4 linked regions of the Oryctolagus cuniculus genome follow. The protein of the gene in region 1 interacts with the protein of each later gene in a pairwise test. Links are inferred from orthologs where the notes say so. Each region holds a gene or a part of one and is shown on either strand. Other genes may lie near its edges.

Region 1 (4,179 bases):
TGTGACCGACACTTAGTGAGACAGCTAACGAAGACAGAAAGCCACCGATTCTTAGGAAGCAGCAATAATGTGTTTGGACTTGAGCCCTGCAAAGGCGGCTAATGGTTGTGTTCTCCTCCCTCCAGCTGGTGTTCTTTAACATCCCCTTGATGGCCTACCTGTGTTGGAGCTTGCTGCAGCGGTGCTTTGGTCACAACTTCAGGTCTCATCTCCATCAAGGAAAACACTTGAAAATCATACCTGTGCACCTACTTATGTTCCTGCTGTACGTCTGGCAGCTTTATTCCTGCTACTGTCTTCACGTGACTCACGGCACTCTAGCTCTTTTATTCTCCCCTCTGCGGACCTGGTTGTCACTGCTGACTCCTCTTCTCGTTCGTTATGTGTGGAAACTGAACTCCACTGAATTTGGAACCTTCATGGTGCATTTTAAAAGCCACCTGAGCTCCTGAGGGCCATGTCTTGCCACTGGCAGCTGGCTGGAAGTCCAGCGTCTGCACCTGTAGCCAGGCCCCCGCTCCAGTAGCAGGTGGAGGGCCAGCACTGGTGTGTGAGCCTCAGGGAGCTGCTGCTCTTTGGACACTTGGATGTTGCAGGGATTATCCACTATTGATTCCTACAGAACAGACTGCAGAAAAGTCTCTAAATAATGACTTGATTCCTTCCTTCCCTGGGGAGGCAAAGGATTGATTTATCTTTGTGAAGAGAAAATCCTAATCTAGGAGCTCCACAGGGCAGGGTCTGGGTGTGTGAGTGGGGGCATCTGAGGCCCCGTGTGTTTTTAAGATTATCCCATGTAAAGCACCTAGTACCGCTGCCTGGAACTCAGCAGCTGTCAAGGGTGCTGTTAGGGGCAGGGAAACTGTGGACTTTGGCCCAACTCTGACTACCATTAAGATATTAGTTCCCAGTCCTGTTTGGCCCCCGGGTTATGAGCTTTTGGCCCTAATTGGGGGTGTTTTCAATTAATTGACTTAATGAATGAATAAATACCATGAGGGCAGGCATTTGGCCTAGTGGTTAAGGCACCAGTTGAAACAGCCCTGGCTGTGCCCCCTCTGGAGTCCAGCTTCTTGATAATGCACACCCTGGGAGTCAGGGAGTGATGGCTCAAATGGTAGGCCCCCTGCCACCCATGTGGAAGACCCGATTGAGTTCCCTGCTGCTGGCTTGTGGGTTTTGGGGAGTGAATCAATGGATGGGAGCATGCTCCCACTGTGTCCCTCTCTGTCCCACTGTCAGCCTCAAATAAATAAATAAAAATTTAAAGCAACAAAAACCATAGTATTTTCTTTAAAAGAAAAAGACCCGGGACGTGAGCATTGCTTTGCTGTCCAGCCTCTGGAAATGGGTGGTGCTTGTTTGGGGAAGGCTTGGCCGGGTCTGGGGGCGTGGCCTCAGGGAGGCGGAAGGGGCGGGGCAAGCGGCTTGTTGCCGGAAACGAGCCTAGTGGGACGACTGCTGCTCTGCGTCTCTGGCAGCGCCTCCGGCTGCCTCGGTCTCCGGGGTCACCCGAGCGACTGCGATGGCGAGCGCAGCTGCACCTGCGGCCGCAGTGCCCACCCTGGTTCCGCCTTTGGAGCAGCTCCGGCACTTGGCGGTGGAGCTGCGACTGCTCCTACCTCGAGTGCGGGGTGAGCTGACACAGGGGGGCGGAATGGCAAGTGCGTTCTTGGGGTGAGGGAGAGGCCAGGCTGGCCGGCGACCGGAGGCGGAGCCCCTGGCCGAGGCCGTGGTTCCGCTTACCTGAGCTTTTCCTTTCGCCACCGTCTGGCCCTCCCATGCCATACCCACAAGTCGGCGAAGCCCGCGGCACCGTCGAGGAGTTTAATCGGGAGACGTTCTGGAGAAGATTCAGTGAGTGCCCCTGGCGCCGGGGCCCCCATCTTTCACCCTCGTCAGCGTCCCCGTCCTTTAACCTCCCGGCCGCCCGTAGGAGGCGACTCCGTCCCCCAGTCGCATCCTCTCTGTGGGAATACCCCACTTTGCCCATCGCTGGCACCAGAAAGGTTGACATGTAAACCACTGACTCTGAGAAGTGTTTTGCTAGGCCTCGGGCGGAGAGGGGACGCACGCAGCTGCTCCGCTTATTAACCTTTTGGCTCTGCCTGCCCCTCTGCCACCCCGCAGATGAGGCGGCTGTGAACGTGTCGAGGGAGGCCACGACTCTGACCACTGCCTTCTCTCGGCTTCCGCTGCCGTCTCCACAGGTGGGCTGCCCTTTCTTGGAGTCCTCGGACTTTCTTTTTACCTTTTACAGTCAGGCCAGGAAATGTGTTTTTCTCGGACGGGATTACAGTTCTTACCTCGCAGGATTGTTGTGAAGTGCGCTTTGGGGCGCGGAATAGGCAGGTCCTCTGACTTTGAATTTGCAGTCCGGCCTAGGTTATTTCCTTTCTGATATCTTTTTAAAGCACTGGTTATTCGCTAGATGTTTTCACCCTGACAGATGAGTAAGTAGGCTCAGAGGCTCAGGTTAACACACATAAGTGATAGAGCTAGAATTTAAATCCACCTGTTGTCTCAGCTACTCCTGTGCCACATAAAACCCTTTTATATTAGTACTTTTCCATTCTATATTTAATCAGTAACTTTTAAATCATACTATAGTAATATAAAATTCAAAAGATATCAAATATAAGTGTGCTAAAATGTTTCTTACCACCCCATTCCTCATTTTTGTCTCCCTTCCTGGTTACTTTTCCATTTTTTTCCTATATAGTGTATTCTATGTGTATATACATTTATGTGTAAATGAGCTGCTTTTTATACAAATAATATGATACTACTTTGTTCTGGACATTCTTTTTTTAAAAATTGGCAACATAGTTTGGAAATCAGTGTGTCTGTTCTTGATGCGCATACACAGTTGCTCAATTCTTTGTCGTGTCTGCACGGTATTCAACAGAGTGAATATTACCATAATTTAACCAATATTCTGTGGACATTTAAACTTCTTCCATCTTGTCAGTATTATAAATCGTGAATTGCATACTACAATCTTTGTATGCCTGTGTACCTCAGTAGAAAAAAAATCCCAGAAGTGAAATTGCTAGAACAGAGAATGTATACATGGATAATAATCCTTTATTGTAAGACTGATGAAAATAAACATATTGGTTGTGAACAGGTATGCCCTATGCTGCTGACTCCATTTTTTCTAGAGCTATATATACTTAATTTGGGCGTGAGGTTATTTCAAAATGACACATTCATTGCTTTCTTTGATTTTCATAGTAGTTTTGGTCTCTTTTCGATCTGTGTATCCAGGTGTCTTGAAATGATATAAATATCTTTTTGCTACATATACCTACAATAAAAACTCTGTTTTCTCTGCATCCTTAGAGATTTTGATGAGTAAGCAAGAATTGAATTGTATAATATCATTTGAAACTGGAGTACTAATATGATCTTTATTTTCTTGTCTGCTGACTCCTTTCAGGTATGATTGGGGTTTACTGCTAAAACTCACAGCAAGTACTGTGAGGAGCCAGCACAGAAATATTTTTCTGTACTTGCTAAGGACTGTAGTTTGCTCATAGATGGGTGAAAAATTAGAATTGGGTTTTATTATATATATATATGTATATTCACAAATATATGTGTTCAAATGTGTGTGTATTTAAATGATAATCACTTTCTAAAATCCCAACACTTCATTCCTACAGATGGTTGACTTGAATGGACTGATATCTTTTATAATTTTATGTGCTTTGATGTTGAAACAATGTCAAATTGCATCTCTCTAAACATTCTCAGTCACTGCACTTACTTCATCCCAAACTGGGAGCAGTTTGCTAACTGGTACCAGTGCGAGCCAATGAGGACAAGGAAGATGAGAGAGCCAGTGACCATTTAGAAGGAAAACAGTCAACACTAAACATGCTAGTTATGTTCACTTAAAGATTGTAATTTTGCTAAAAGAGAGAGCTGGTTAATGATCTAATGCTGGGGGTTGGCAATTTTTTTCTGTGAAGACTCAGTAAAAGGGGCTGGTATTGTAGCATAGTGGGTAAAGCTCCCTCCTGCAGTGCTGGCATTCTATATGGGCACCGGTTGGAAACTCGGCTGCCCCACTTCTGATCCAGCTCCCTGCTAATATGCCTAGGAAAGCAGCAGCAGATGACTGAAGTGTTTGGGCCTCTGCCACCCATGTGAGACACCTGGAGTAAGCTGCTT
Region 2 (4,056 bases), on another chromosome or scaffold:
CTGAGGACTCTGATCCCTCACACAGGGCCCCAGCTGACTCCTAATCTCCTGCAAGAGGCTGGTCTGTGTTGGCTCCTCACCAGCTGCCGCGAAGGCCCTAACCTCAGCCTGGCCCCCAGCCGGCGGCCCGGGGCCTCCACAGCAGCGTTGGGAGTTACAAGCCAGGTTCTAGCGGCCACAGCCATCCCGCCAGTCTGCTGGTCGTTGAAGAGAGCTCTGAAGGGTTCACCGGAGATGACACCCAGGCACCCAGGCCAAGCTCCAAGGCTCAGCTGCCTACTATGGAGGAGGTCTCTGGCCGCAGCACCACAGATACACACACCCACATTCACACAGGGGAGTCAAGCAGAAGCCAGATGGGGCTGCCCCCAGCCACTCCCACCAACTCCAACATCCTGGCCACCAAGATTGCCTCAGTAGGCAGGGAGGTGCCCAAGTCTGTGACCCACAAGTATCAGACACCCACCGTCTGACCACCCACGAAAGTCTCCTGTTCAGCAACAGGGCAACCAGGACAGACCGAGCCCTAGGACACACGAAAGGCCTGGACCTCGGCAGAGACCCCCAGGGCAGTAGAGACCTCAGACCAGACAACTTCAATAGCATAAGACAACACAGCAGGAAGGGGACTGAGCTATGGGTAGGAAGCCAGGGGCTGGGAGGGTGACCTGGTCAGCCAGGCAGGGGAGGGTCCTTCCTCAGCCACGGGGGGGGGGGGGGGGGGCCTGGGGCGTCGCAGGCGGCAGGCTGACTGCTCAGCAAGCACAGACCTGGGCAGCTGAGCCCCCGGGAGGCAGGTACTGCCGCACCACACCGCCTGCCCCAATGCTGCAGAGACGCCTACAGCCTGAGAGCTCAACCAAGAGGTGCAGGGGCCATGCGGTACCCCCAAGGACAGCCCATCCCCTTCAGGGACTCACAACCCACCCCAGGAATGGGCCAGCGGCAGAGGCAGGGGAGCCCCCATTCAGACCCCCAGGAAGGGCAGCCTCCAAGTGGGGTCCTGCAAAGAGAAACTACCCTCAGGGGAAGCCTGAGCCTGCCGGTCAAGGCCCCCACGCCTCCACTCCATGCACACACACTTCCCACATGCACACACCAACACGTGTGCACACACACACCTCTCGTTGCACCCACTCCTTGTTACGGGGAGCAGCATCACTGACACAGAAACCTGGCACCCCCCCAGCTCGCCTGCCTCCCCACTGCACTTCCCAAGCCAGCCATCGCTGGGACTGAGGGCAAGGCACCAGCAGCAGCAGCAGGGTGCCAGGGAAGGCGGGTCCCCCCACCCCCGGGCGGGGTGGGGGGGTTCAGGAGCCATCCGCGGTGGAGGTGAGGCAGAGCCAGTACCTGAGGACAGGAAGCCCGCACTCACCTGGAACGGCGGCAGCCGAGGCCTGCAGACTGCCCCGCTTCTTAAAGGGGTACTTGGCCTTGGGCTTGCCGGGGCCAGATGGATAGGATGCCATGGCTGGGGCCACGGCGACAGCGGGGGAGTCTGAGCCGCACCGGCTGGGGCCTGGCTCTGCCACATCCAACCCCTTCCTCCGCCCCGCCCCCAGCGGGAGTGACTGATGCAGGAAGCAGCGCCCCGCAGGCGGAAGAGGCCCTGGCCACGATTTCTGATGTTGTCTAGGCAACGTCGGCGAGTGGGGCCTCCATCCCGGCCCCTTAGCCCTCGAGTGACGCGACTGACGGCGGCCGGATCTGGGGGGCGGGGTGGAGACTACCAGATCGGGGAGGGCCGGCCTCCAGCTCGCCACTAACCGCACCCACACCCCGCCACCCCCCACCCCCGCTCAGGAAACCTCCCCCCGCCCCGGCCAGGGCTCCAAAGTCCAGGCTGGCTGGTCCAGCCAGCCGGAGAGCAAAAGACCGCCGTAAAGAGGAATCCGGCCGAGCTCGCCTAGTTCAGAACCCACTCCTCGCAGGGCAAGGCGGGGCAGGCGCGCTCCGTCCAAAACCCGGCGCCTCGAGGCGAGGCTCTGCCCCCTCTGCTCCTCCACCTGACCCCCGGCTCCAGGGGCAGCCCAGCTCACGGAGGAGGGAGTGGAACGGAGAATCCCAGCCCAGGAGGGAGGGGCCTGCCTTGGGAAAATTCCACGGACCGGCGGAAGCTACCTCCCAGGAAGCCAGGGGCTCTTCTGGGGTCTGGGGAAGGGACGCCCCGCCACCCCACCCCCAGCCGCTTCTGACTTTCCCTTCCACACTCGCTCCGCTTCCCCAGCCTCTTCCCGAGGTCCTGCAGATTGTGCCAAGACCCCCACACTCTTGTCACCCTGGCCACAGCACCTCTGAGTCCAGAGACCCTCGCCCCAACATACGCGCACACACTTACCCGAGGCCATGCTGCCTGAATCCCGAGGGGCACTGGGGGAGCCGCCCGCGAGGGTCTGCACAGCCGGGAAGCCCGGGTCGTGAGGGAGGGGAGAGGGGCTGGGCCCCAGACCCCGGCCAAGTCGCTCCAAAGGGCCGTGACCTGGCACTGGGTTGGGGAAAGTAGGGCAGTTTTTCAAAATTTCCAGCCGGCTGCGGGCGAACCGCAGCCGACCTCGGCCGACCGAGTGGCCTCGGGCAACCCCGGCGTCCCGACCCCCCAGCCAACGCACTGGAGAAGCGGGCAGGCCACGTGCTCCCCCAGCCAGCAGGACCCGGAACTCGTCCGGGTTTCTCGCAACACGCCTTGGGTATGTGGCGCCGGACTCCCGTGGCTGGCCAGAGGGGAACCGCGCAACAGGTGCGACCCCACCCGAACCCCAGCGGCGCCGCGCCAGTCTCCGTGGCCCCAGGCCCCGCGGCCCCGCCCCCGGGCTGGCCCCGCCCCGCCCCTTTTCCCGGGCGCCACGTGGGCTGCGAACTCCGCGGTGGGCCTGGCCCGGCGCCGGGTGGGGGGCGAGCTGTGCGCGCCAGCTTCCTCCTCCGTAAGGCGGGGGACGGAGCGGTGACAGCGCCGCGCTCTGGGGGTAAGCGGCGCTGGGCCCAGCGGGGGCCTAGGAAAGGGTAGCCGTGGTTAGCGGCTCGGGAGTCACTTGAAACCGAAGTGCGGCCCCTCGGGCGACGGCGTCCTCACCTGGGCCGCCCGTTCGGCTCGGGCGAGGGTGTGTCCTCCGATTCCATCTTCCCCCTCCCACGCTAACTTCTGTATTTGCCGGTTAGGCTCCGTAGCCCGAATTCCTGGGTTGGAATTCAGGACTTCGATCTCCTCCCTGGCTACCTAACTGCTTCGGTTTCTTGTGCTTTATATGCTGGTTGTTTAAGGTGAATGAGCTAACATAAGATAAGTGTGTATAACTGTGCCGGCCTGTAGTTACCCCTCAGTGTTCCTGCATCATCACTTCATTGGTTTGGCCTTGGACTTGGTTCCCAAGTGACACGCTCACGAGTTGATTCACCTTGCAGCCCATAAATTAGTGGAGCTGAGCTGTCTTGGGCACCGCAGGCACGCTGTCCGGCCGGCATCCTCACTGGGGAGGGGCACAGGAAGTCCCTAAGCGCTCACTGAAAGTCATTGTTATCCTGCCCCTGTGGGAGCCCTTTGCCCCCCACACCCAGCTGTGCTAACGCAGTCTGTCGGGTCCCTCCCAGTTCTCACCTCCCACGCAGCCAAGTTCCTTCCCAAACTCTGCCTCCCTCTGCCCTCCCCACACTGGATTCTGGACCCTGAACCCCATCCTCTGCCTGCACCTGGTGTCGCCTCCACTGATCCCTTGTCTCTTGCCCCACGCTTGGAACAAATTTAAACTCCATGGCTTTCGTAAACGTAGGGAGGAAATGCCTTCACCTTACAAAGAAAAAGAGAACCAGGAGATACCATGTTCACCAATCAAAACGGCAAAGCCTAAGAAAAACATATCAATGCAGGCAAGGGGATAGTGAAATGGGACACAGACACACACACACAGACTACCGGAGGCTATAAACATTGCTATTTGGTAGTAGATAATCAAGAATCTCATAAAGGTTCTTAAATCTGACACAGCTCTCCACCTCCAGGAATTTAAAAAAAAAAAAAAAACATTTATTTATTTGAAAGGCAAAGTGACTGAGAGAGGG
Region 3 (2,992 bases), on another chromosome or scaffold:
CTCAGAGTGCTTGGTTCAAGTCCCAGCTCCTCCACTTCCGATCTCGGCTTCCCGCTAACGCACACCCAGGTGATGGTTCAGGTTCTGGGTCCCTGCCCCCGAAGTGGGAGATCCCTACGGAGCTCCTGGCTCCTGGCTTCAGCCTGGCCCAGCCCTGGCTGTTGCAGGCATTTGGGGGAGTAAACCAGAAGATAGGAGCTGTCTCTCAAATTAAAAATTAAAAATAAGTTAAACTAAAAAAAAAAAAAAGATTTATTTGAGAGCCAGAGCTGCAGAGAGAGAGGGAGAGACCATCTGCTGGTTCACCCCCACAAATAGTCACAACAGCCGGAGCTGGAGTGATCCAAAGCCAGGAGCCAGGAGCCTCCCCCGGTCTCCCATGCGGGTGCAAGGGCCATCTTCCGCAGCTCTCCCAGGCACATTAGCAGAGAGCTGGATCGGAAGGAGAGCAGCTGGGACAGGACTTGGGATGCCAGTGCTGCAGGCAGAGGCTTAGCCTGCTACGTACGCCATAGCACCAGCCCCTAAGTTAAAACTTAAAAAAAAAAAAAAGAGGTAGCAAGAGCACTCGGTTTGGAGTCCCATCCAGGCTGTGTGACTCTGGGCTGAGGTTCCCCCTCTGAACTTCCATTACTCATCTATAAATGGGTCTCGATTGCTCCCAACATGGGGTTGCCATGAGGACTCAATGGCACCCCACGGGCGCCCGTGCAGCATGGCGTCCAGCCGCTGTAGGGGCTCCTGTAAGTAGTGGGCACTTATATTATATACACTGGGCTCTGGAGATCAGGGAGGGGGTAGCTCCTCCAGGATGTGGGGAGGGGCCGGCGGGGGAGGCATTTGCAGGCCTGGGTCGTGGTCAGGGAACAAAGAGGCAAACAGAGCCCCCAGGAGTGGCCGTGTTCTGGGCAGAGGACGCAGAGCCCCTGAGAGGCAGCGCAGGGACCCGCAAGCAGGCAGGCAACTTCCTCCCAGATCTTGGTGGGAGATCAGTCAGTTGGGGGTCATGGGCAGGGAGTGGGCCCTTTAAATCCTAAGCTCCACCTATGCTGAGAAGGGTCTCTGAGGAGAATAAATAGGGGGCGCAGCTCCTCTCTGCTCCACCAAAGCCAGCTGCTCCTCCCTGCCTGCCCCCAGCCCCAGCCCCTCTCCAGCTGCACCCCCACCCCACCCCGCGCACCTCCAGCCCGACCCAGCCCCAGGCTGGGCAGCATGCAGCCGCCACCTTTTGACATGTGGAAGGACTACTTCAACCTGAACCAGGTGCTGTGGGCGCTGATCAGGAGTCGGGGGCCGAGGCTGGAGGCCCAGGGGGTGCAGGAGCCCAGCCCCGGGGCCCCGCTGGGGCCAGGAGATGACGGGCTGGTGGGGCTGGGGCCCGGCGGGGGCCTGGGTTCCCTGTGTAACTTCTGCAAACACAACGGGGAGTCCCGCCACGTGTACTCCTCCCACCAGCTCAAGACGCCCGAGGGTGTCGTCGTGTGTCCCATCCTGAGGCACTACGTGTGTCCCCTGTGCGGGGCCACGGGTGGCCAGGCCCACACGCTCAAGTACTGCCCGCTCAACGGCAGCCAGCAGTCCCTGTACCGCCGCAGTGGCCGGAACTCGGCCGGCCGCAAGGTGAAGCGCTGAGCACTGGGAGGTGCCCCCGCCCCGCCCCGCCCCGCATCGCCCTCGGGACCTGGCTCGCTCCCCACCAAGCCCTTGACCCCTCCACTCCATCCACCCAGCTCTTGGCAACGCCACCCCTGCTGGATCCCAAAGCAGTGGGTGGGGGGCTGCTGGCAAGCCCCCCGCCGTGGAACTTTGTCCTGGTGCAGGGGAGCCCTGCCCAGGGGACTGCACAGCTTCGCGATGCTTCTTGGGCAACTCCTGCTTCCAGGGCCTGCTGGCGACTTCCCAGCCCCAGGCCCCCGTTCCTCGAAGAATTCTGGGATCCGAAGCCCTCTCGGACCTGGCCGTGCCCTCTGGGGACTTGCACACAGCGAGCAAAGCTGGCCCGGATGTGCCAGCCAGTTTCCACTTTCTTCAGCCACCTGCAGACCCACACCTCCGGCATGGACCACCTGGACTGGGGGCGGTGGGGGCCGCGCTGCCCTCCCAGGCTCATCGCTGGAGAGCCTCAGGGTGAGCTGGACGCCCTCGGCCCTCCATGATTCTCGCTCTTTCACGCTGCTCCTGCTCCGAATCCCGAGTCCCCCGTGGGTCCTCTCCCCTGGCGACAGGTGCGTCTCCCCGCCAGTCCCACCCTCCCCTCCATCACCATCCTCCCAGCGTTAGACCCGTGGAGCTCCCACCAGCAAGGGGTCTGAGTGTTCAGATGGGAATGGCGACCGCCTAGGTTTTATTTTGGGGGCACAGACGAAAGCCCGTGAGATGTTCAGTTGTTCAGTTTGCGCTCAGGGTCGGGGACCTGGGTGTCAGGCGCTAGTGAATAAAGAATATTTCAAGTTGTCTTTGACATCTGTCCGTTTCCACCTCCTCACCTGCTGGCTGGCCGACAGAGGTGGAGAGCAGTTTTAGCCCCGGCTCTTGGAAAGTGGGGAGGAGGGGCGGGGACAGCTCGGGGCCGTGGGTTCCTCTCCTGACCCCCGTGACTGGGTCCCAGGTTCCTCCTCCGCCTCTACCTGGACCCCAGATCCTGTGCCCTGTCTGTGGGCTGCCCTCCCACCCCTGTGAGGCCACGGGACTTCCGAGACCAACTTCCTGGGAGTTGTTTAAGCTTGGGTGCCCAGACCCCACTGGAGAGATGTTGAAAAGCGTGGGTTCTGCCCCCAGCACACGTAACACAAAGTGCATAGCCTGTTATTCCAGCAGGCTGCATTTATTTTTAACAACAGTTGTTTGTTTAAACATTGAATTGTCAATTTGTTTTTATTTCTGTGAAAGGGAGGGAGGGTGGGAGGGGGAAAAAGAGAGAGAAAGAGAGAATATCTCAGCTCAGTAGACTAATCCTCCGCCTATAGCACCGGCACACCGGGTTCTAGTCCCG
Region 4 (4,162 bases), on another chromosome or scaffold:
TGTAGTTGGGCCCTGACACCCACATGGGCAGCCCAGAGTTCTCGGCTTCCAGCCACCTTGAGCCTGGCCCAGTCCTGGCGGTTGCGGGTATCTGGGCAATGAACTAGTGGATGGGAGCTTTCTGTCCCTTAAATAAATAAAGTCTAGTGGCCAGTGCTGTGGCATAGTGGGTAGAGCTGCCGCTTGCAGTACCAGCATCCCATGTGGGCGCCGGCTCAAGTCCCGGCTGCTCCTCTTCCAATCCAGCTCTCTGCTGTGGCCTGGGAAGGCAGTGGAAGATGGCCCAAGTCCTGGGAGGCCTGGAGAAAGCTCCTGGCTCCGGATCAGCGCAGCTCCGGCCGTTGTAGCCAACTGGGGAGTGAACCAGCAGAAGGAAGACCTCTCTCTCTCTCTCTCTCTCTCTCTCTCTCTCTCTCACCCTGATGGGTGCTCCTGGCTGTTGGGCTTTTCCCGCGTTCCGGCCCTGCTCCGCGGTGAGAAGCGCTGACTGTGACCGCATCTCGGACGGTCTGCCTCGCCCACCGTTCCTTGCGGTCCCCTTACGAAGAGCTCAGAGCTGCAATCTTTCAACTCTGGGATCCGCTCCGTTAAGATTTCTTTGGCTTGGACCTGAGACCCTGACCCAAACCGGGCGGAGACGTCCCTGGCAGAGCACTCTCAGCCGCTTCACGTCCTCGCCGGTCCAGTTTCTCACCAGACACGATGGAACATACCAGAAGCCGGCCGAGGCAGTGAGCTGAGAACAAGCACAGATGCGGCCAAGTTCAAGCCCACTGCGTGACCCCGCCGGACGGCGGCCGGGGCAGGACCCCGGCCCGCAAGGTCCCCCCAGGTGCTGCTAAACGAGCAGGGGTGACGACACAGGCCACACGGCCCCTCACGCCACCTCCCAGTGCCCGCCGCGGACCGCGTCAAGTCAGGACCCCGCGAAGGGCTGCGCAGAGGGCAGGGCCGGGCGCCCAGAGGGGCCGGCCGGGAGCGGAGGGCTCGCAGTGGGCTCCCTGCAGGGCCCTAGGGCCGGAACGGCCCGCTCACGAGCAGAGTGGCGGAACGCAGCGCCCAGCCTCCAGCGCCGCACGCTGACCGGGACCAGCAGAGTAGCGGCCTCACGGCGATCGCACGCGCGTCCGCCTGCCCGCCCTAGGCACGCCGTGCGGGGGCGCCTGGCCGGAGAAGCAGCCCGAGGCCCTCCGAGCGGGACTCGCAGTCCCGGCGGGCCCCGCGGCGCACCAGCGCCTCGACGCCGCTCGATGCAAGGCCTGCCGGGACTTGCAGTCCAGCGCCGGCGCCTCGATGCCGCCCGTCGCGCGGCCTGCCGGGACTTGTAGTCCGGCGCCCGCGGGTCCAGGGCGCGGGGTGGACAGCGGGACTCGGAGTCCCAGGGAGCCGCGCGCCGGCCACGACGACCTCGCCGCCCTCGTCGCCGCCGCCTCCGCTGCCCCTGGGGTTTCTCGGCTACCGCCGCCGCCGCCGCCGCTACGCGGGCCAGCCCGGGCGTTCCCGGGCGGACGGAGGCTGCGGGTGGGAGCCTTCGCGGGCGCTGCGGCGCGGGCCGGGGGAGGCCGGGATGGAGCCCCCCGGAGGTGGGCGCGCTGCCGGGCGGGGCCGCGCCCGGGCGGTTGGGGCCGGGCGGGGCGGGGGCCGGGGCCGGGGCCGGGGCCGGGCGGCGCTCCCGGGGCCCTGACTGCCGCCGTCCCCACAGGGGACTGACGCGAGCGCGCCGGGGTCGCCGACGGCCGGGCGGAGCGCGGCGCGGACCATGGCGCACCTGAGGGGATTTGCCAGCCAGGTGAGGAGGGGCGGCACGGCGGCGCGGTCGGGGGTCGTTCCGCCTCCCGGGTGTCCCCGCCGCGCTCCCCGCCCTCCGCTGTCGCGGCTGCGGAGGTGACCGTGCGGCCGCCCGTCGCGCCTGCTTCGCGCTTTCCCGCACCCGCAGGTGCCAACGCTTCGCCCAGGGCGCGGCGCGGGGCGAGCGCCGGCCGGACCGTGGCGAGGCGTGGACAGGAAGCGCGTCCGCCCGCGACGGGAGCCGGTCGGGGGAAGGCGGCGGCCGGGGTCCCTGCTTCGTCTTTGACGTTTGGGCCTGCAGGTTACGTGGCGAGGATGTCGAGAGAAAAACCTGCTCACCTGTTAGAAGCGCAGGAGCAGGGCTGGCGGGGGCGCGGAGAGGGGACCCCGAGGTGGGAGGCGTCGTTTGGCCTTTTCGGGGCCCCTTTGCCATCCCGCAGGGCTGACCAGGCTGGTGTGGCCCCCGGGCCCCGTGGGCAGGAACGGTGCGGAGGTGCGAGCTCAGGCCGCAGCTGGGGTGTCGGGGGGCTTCGGGCCTCTGTTGTGCGGCGTGAGCAGCAGACACGTTGGGGCAGAGGGCCCAGGCTGCGTGGCCTACCCCGCAGCCCCTCCCGAAGAGGACCCCTGTGTTCCTCTTCCCAGGGCGGTTGGGCGTGGGCTGTCCCTGGGCTGCAGTGGCAGGTCCTTGTCACGCTCTTGCTGCTCAGGCTGGCTGCCGTGGCGGTGGGCACACCAGGAGGGGCCTGGGGGCAGGGACTTGCACCTTGCCTGCTCAGCCCTGGCTCAGGGGCTGTGTCGGGCGCTGCGTTGGCCAGGCTGTCAGCGGAGTGAGGTGGTACCCAGAGATGCTGCTGGGCCTCTAGGTCTGTCTCGGGCCAGCCTCGAAGGCGGTGGACTGTAGAGTGACAGGAGGACGCCAGCTCAGGGCCTGAGCCAGAGCCGCTGAGCCACCAGGATGGGGCTGTGCCAGGCAGCCTGGGGGAACGCGTCTCCCCAAAGCCCTGGAGGTAGGTGATGAGCTCTCTGCGACAGGAGAGTGGCCGCCTGCCCGTCAGTGGTCTGAGGGCTGCTGTGTCCAGGACTTGGGCACCTGCTCCGGCGGGCTGGGCTCTCGTGGGCTCTCGCCCGCAGCACCCTGAGGGCAGTGGAGCAGGTGTGACGTGTCACACACCGTGAGTTTCCTGGCTTCTGTTTCTAGAACCTGGTCAGCAGGAGAGGAGAGGCTGGGGTAAACGCAGCTCGCCTGGCCCGTGCAGCCTGGGCAGGACCGGACTTTGTCCTTGCTGATCCTCAGCCTTGGCTTTGGGGTCTCCTGGCAGCAGGCTGGCCCTGAGCATCCCCTGGGCTCATCCATGGCCACAGGCCTTGGGACCCGTCTGCCAGTTCTGGCCACTTTGCCTTATGTGTCCAAGCCGGTTAACTGGGTTAGGGTGTGTGTGGTCTGCAGCTGGCCTGCCTGGGGCAGCTGCTCTGGCTGTCACCCCAGGCCTGGTTCGGGTGGATTAAGTGGCCGGCGCTGCCCTGTCCTTGCAGCCCCGCTGCTGTGTCTGCGCCGCCCGGGGCTCAGCTCCGCTGTCCTCAAGTTCCTGTCTCCCCAGAGCCTGGCTCCCAGCCGGGGTCAGGGACACTGTGAGGCGGTCTCGTAGGCCTGGGCCTGGGTGATCGCCCCTCCTGCCCTGTGGTTACAAACCCTGGAGAGGGTGCTCAGGCTCAGCTGAAACGTGGCGTGAGCCTAGAGCAGCACCCTGCGGGCCCAGCACCCATGACTGGTGCTCTGCTCCGGGGAGGAGGCGCTGAGCCCGCCCAGCCCTGGCTGCCCTCACCTGGGAGCTGGCCATGTTTTCTGGACTTGGTGAGAAGTGGGCACTGAGACACTGTCATGGGGGTGGTGCCCCTCCTGGTGCGGAGACTCGGCTGGGCTTGCCTTGGGGCCGCCGCCCGCAGTGCTGGCATCCCACGTGGGTGCCAGTTGGAGTCCTGGCTGCTCCACTTCGTATCCAGCTCCCTGCTATGGCCTGGGAAAGCAGTGGAGGATGGCGCAAGGGCTTGGAGACCGGAAGATGCTCCTGGCTTCCGGGTTTGGCCTGGCCCAGCACTGGCCGTTGTGGGCATTTGGGGAGTGAAGCTGCAGATCTCTGTCTCTCTCTAACTCTGCCTTTCAAATAAATAAAAATAAATCTTAAAAAAAAAAAAGGAAAATTCTGTCTTGATGACACTCAGGGCCTTAACCCCACTCCCACCTCTACAGGTTCCCCTGTGGGGCAGCAAGCCACTAGGATCCTGGGGTATGGGGGCTGCCCTTCACCCTCGGCCGGCCGTGTTTCTGAGGTTGGTCAGCGCTTGGTGGCTGGAGCATGGTGTTCTCAGGAGCCCA

What was found. The genes of interacting proteins can lie anywhere in the genome.
Region 2: the proteins of CCNDBP1 (region 1) and AMPD2 interact in binary tests that used the Homo sapiens proteins (3 or more experiments, as listed by UniProt). The two-hybrid records come from large-scale screens. The link is inferred for Oryctolagus cuniculus from reciprocal best matches to the Homo sapiens genes CCNDBP1 and AMPD2.
Region 3: the proteins of CCNDBP1 (region 1) and NANOS2 interact in binary tests that used the Homo sapiens proteins (3 or more experiments, as listed by UniProt). The two-hybrid records come from large-scale screens. The link is inferred for Oryctolagus cuniculus from reciprocal best matches to the Homo sapiens genes CCNDBP1 and NANOS2.
Region 4: the proteins of CCNDBP1 (region 1) and STK25 interact in binary tests that used the Homo sapiens proteins (3 or more experiments, as listed by UniProt). The two-hybrid records come from large-scale screens. The link is inferred for Oryctolagus cuniculus from reciprocal best matches to the Homo sapiens genes CCNDBP1 and STK25.

The regions. Positions count from the first base shown.
Region 1 is NC_091443.1:66,134,665-66,138,843, forward strand, and holds the start of CCNDBP1 (cyclin-D1-binding protein 1), read left to right. Parts: upstream 1-1,379; 5' UTR 1,380-1,525; coding exon 1,526-1,634; intron 1,635-1,797; coding exon 1,798-1,857; intron 1,858-2,130; coding exon 2,131-2,210; intron 2,211-4,179. Other genes in the region: TMEM62 (transmembrane protein 62), read left to right, coding at 126-452. UniProt on the Homo sapiens protein: May negatively regulate cell cycle progression. May act at least in part via inhibition of the cyclin-D1/CDK4 complex, thereby preventing phosphorylation of RB1 and blocking E2F-dependent transcription.
Region 2 is NC_091438.1:60,791,596-60,795,651, forward strand, and holds the start of AMPD2 (AMP deaminase 2), read right to left. Parts: upstream 2,801-4,056; 5' UTR 2,614-2,800; coding exon 2,613-2,613; intron 2,597-2,612; exon of another isoform or gene 2,489-2,596; coding exon 2,342-2,488; intron 1,676-2,341; exon of another isoform or gene 1,538-1,675; coding exon of another isoform or gene 1,373-1,537; intron 1-1,372. UniProt on the Homo sapiens protein: AMP deaminase plays a critical role in energy metabolism. Catalyzes the deamination of AMP to IMP and plays an important role in the purine nucleotide cycle.
Region 3 is NC_091449.1:11,135,455-11,138,446, forward strand, and holds NANOS2 (nanos homolog 2), read left to right. Parts: upstream 1-1,161; 5' UTR 1,162-1,212; coding exon 1,213-1,632; 3' UTR 1,633-2,492; downstream 2,493-2,992. UniProt on the Homo sapiens protein: Plays a key role in the sexual differentiation of germ cells by promoting the male fate but suppressing the female fate. Represses the female fate pathways by suppressing meiosis, which in turn results in the promotion of the male fate.
Region 4 is NC_091434.1:279,021-283,182, forward strand, and holds the start of STK25 (serine/threonine-protein kinase 25), read left to right. Parts: upstream 1-1,362; 5' UTR 1,363-1,521; exon of another isoform or gene 1,522-1,583; intron 1,584-1,702; 5' UTR 1,703-1,759; coding exon 1,760-1,789; intron 1,790-4,162. UniProt on the Homo sapiens protein: Oxidant stress-activated serine/threonine kinase that may play a role in the response to environmental stress.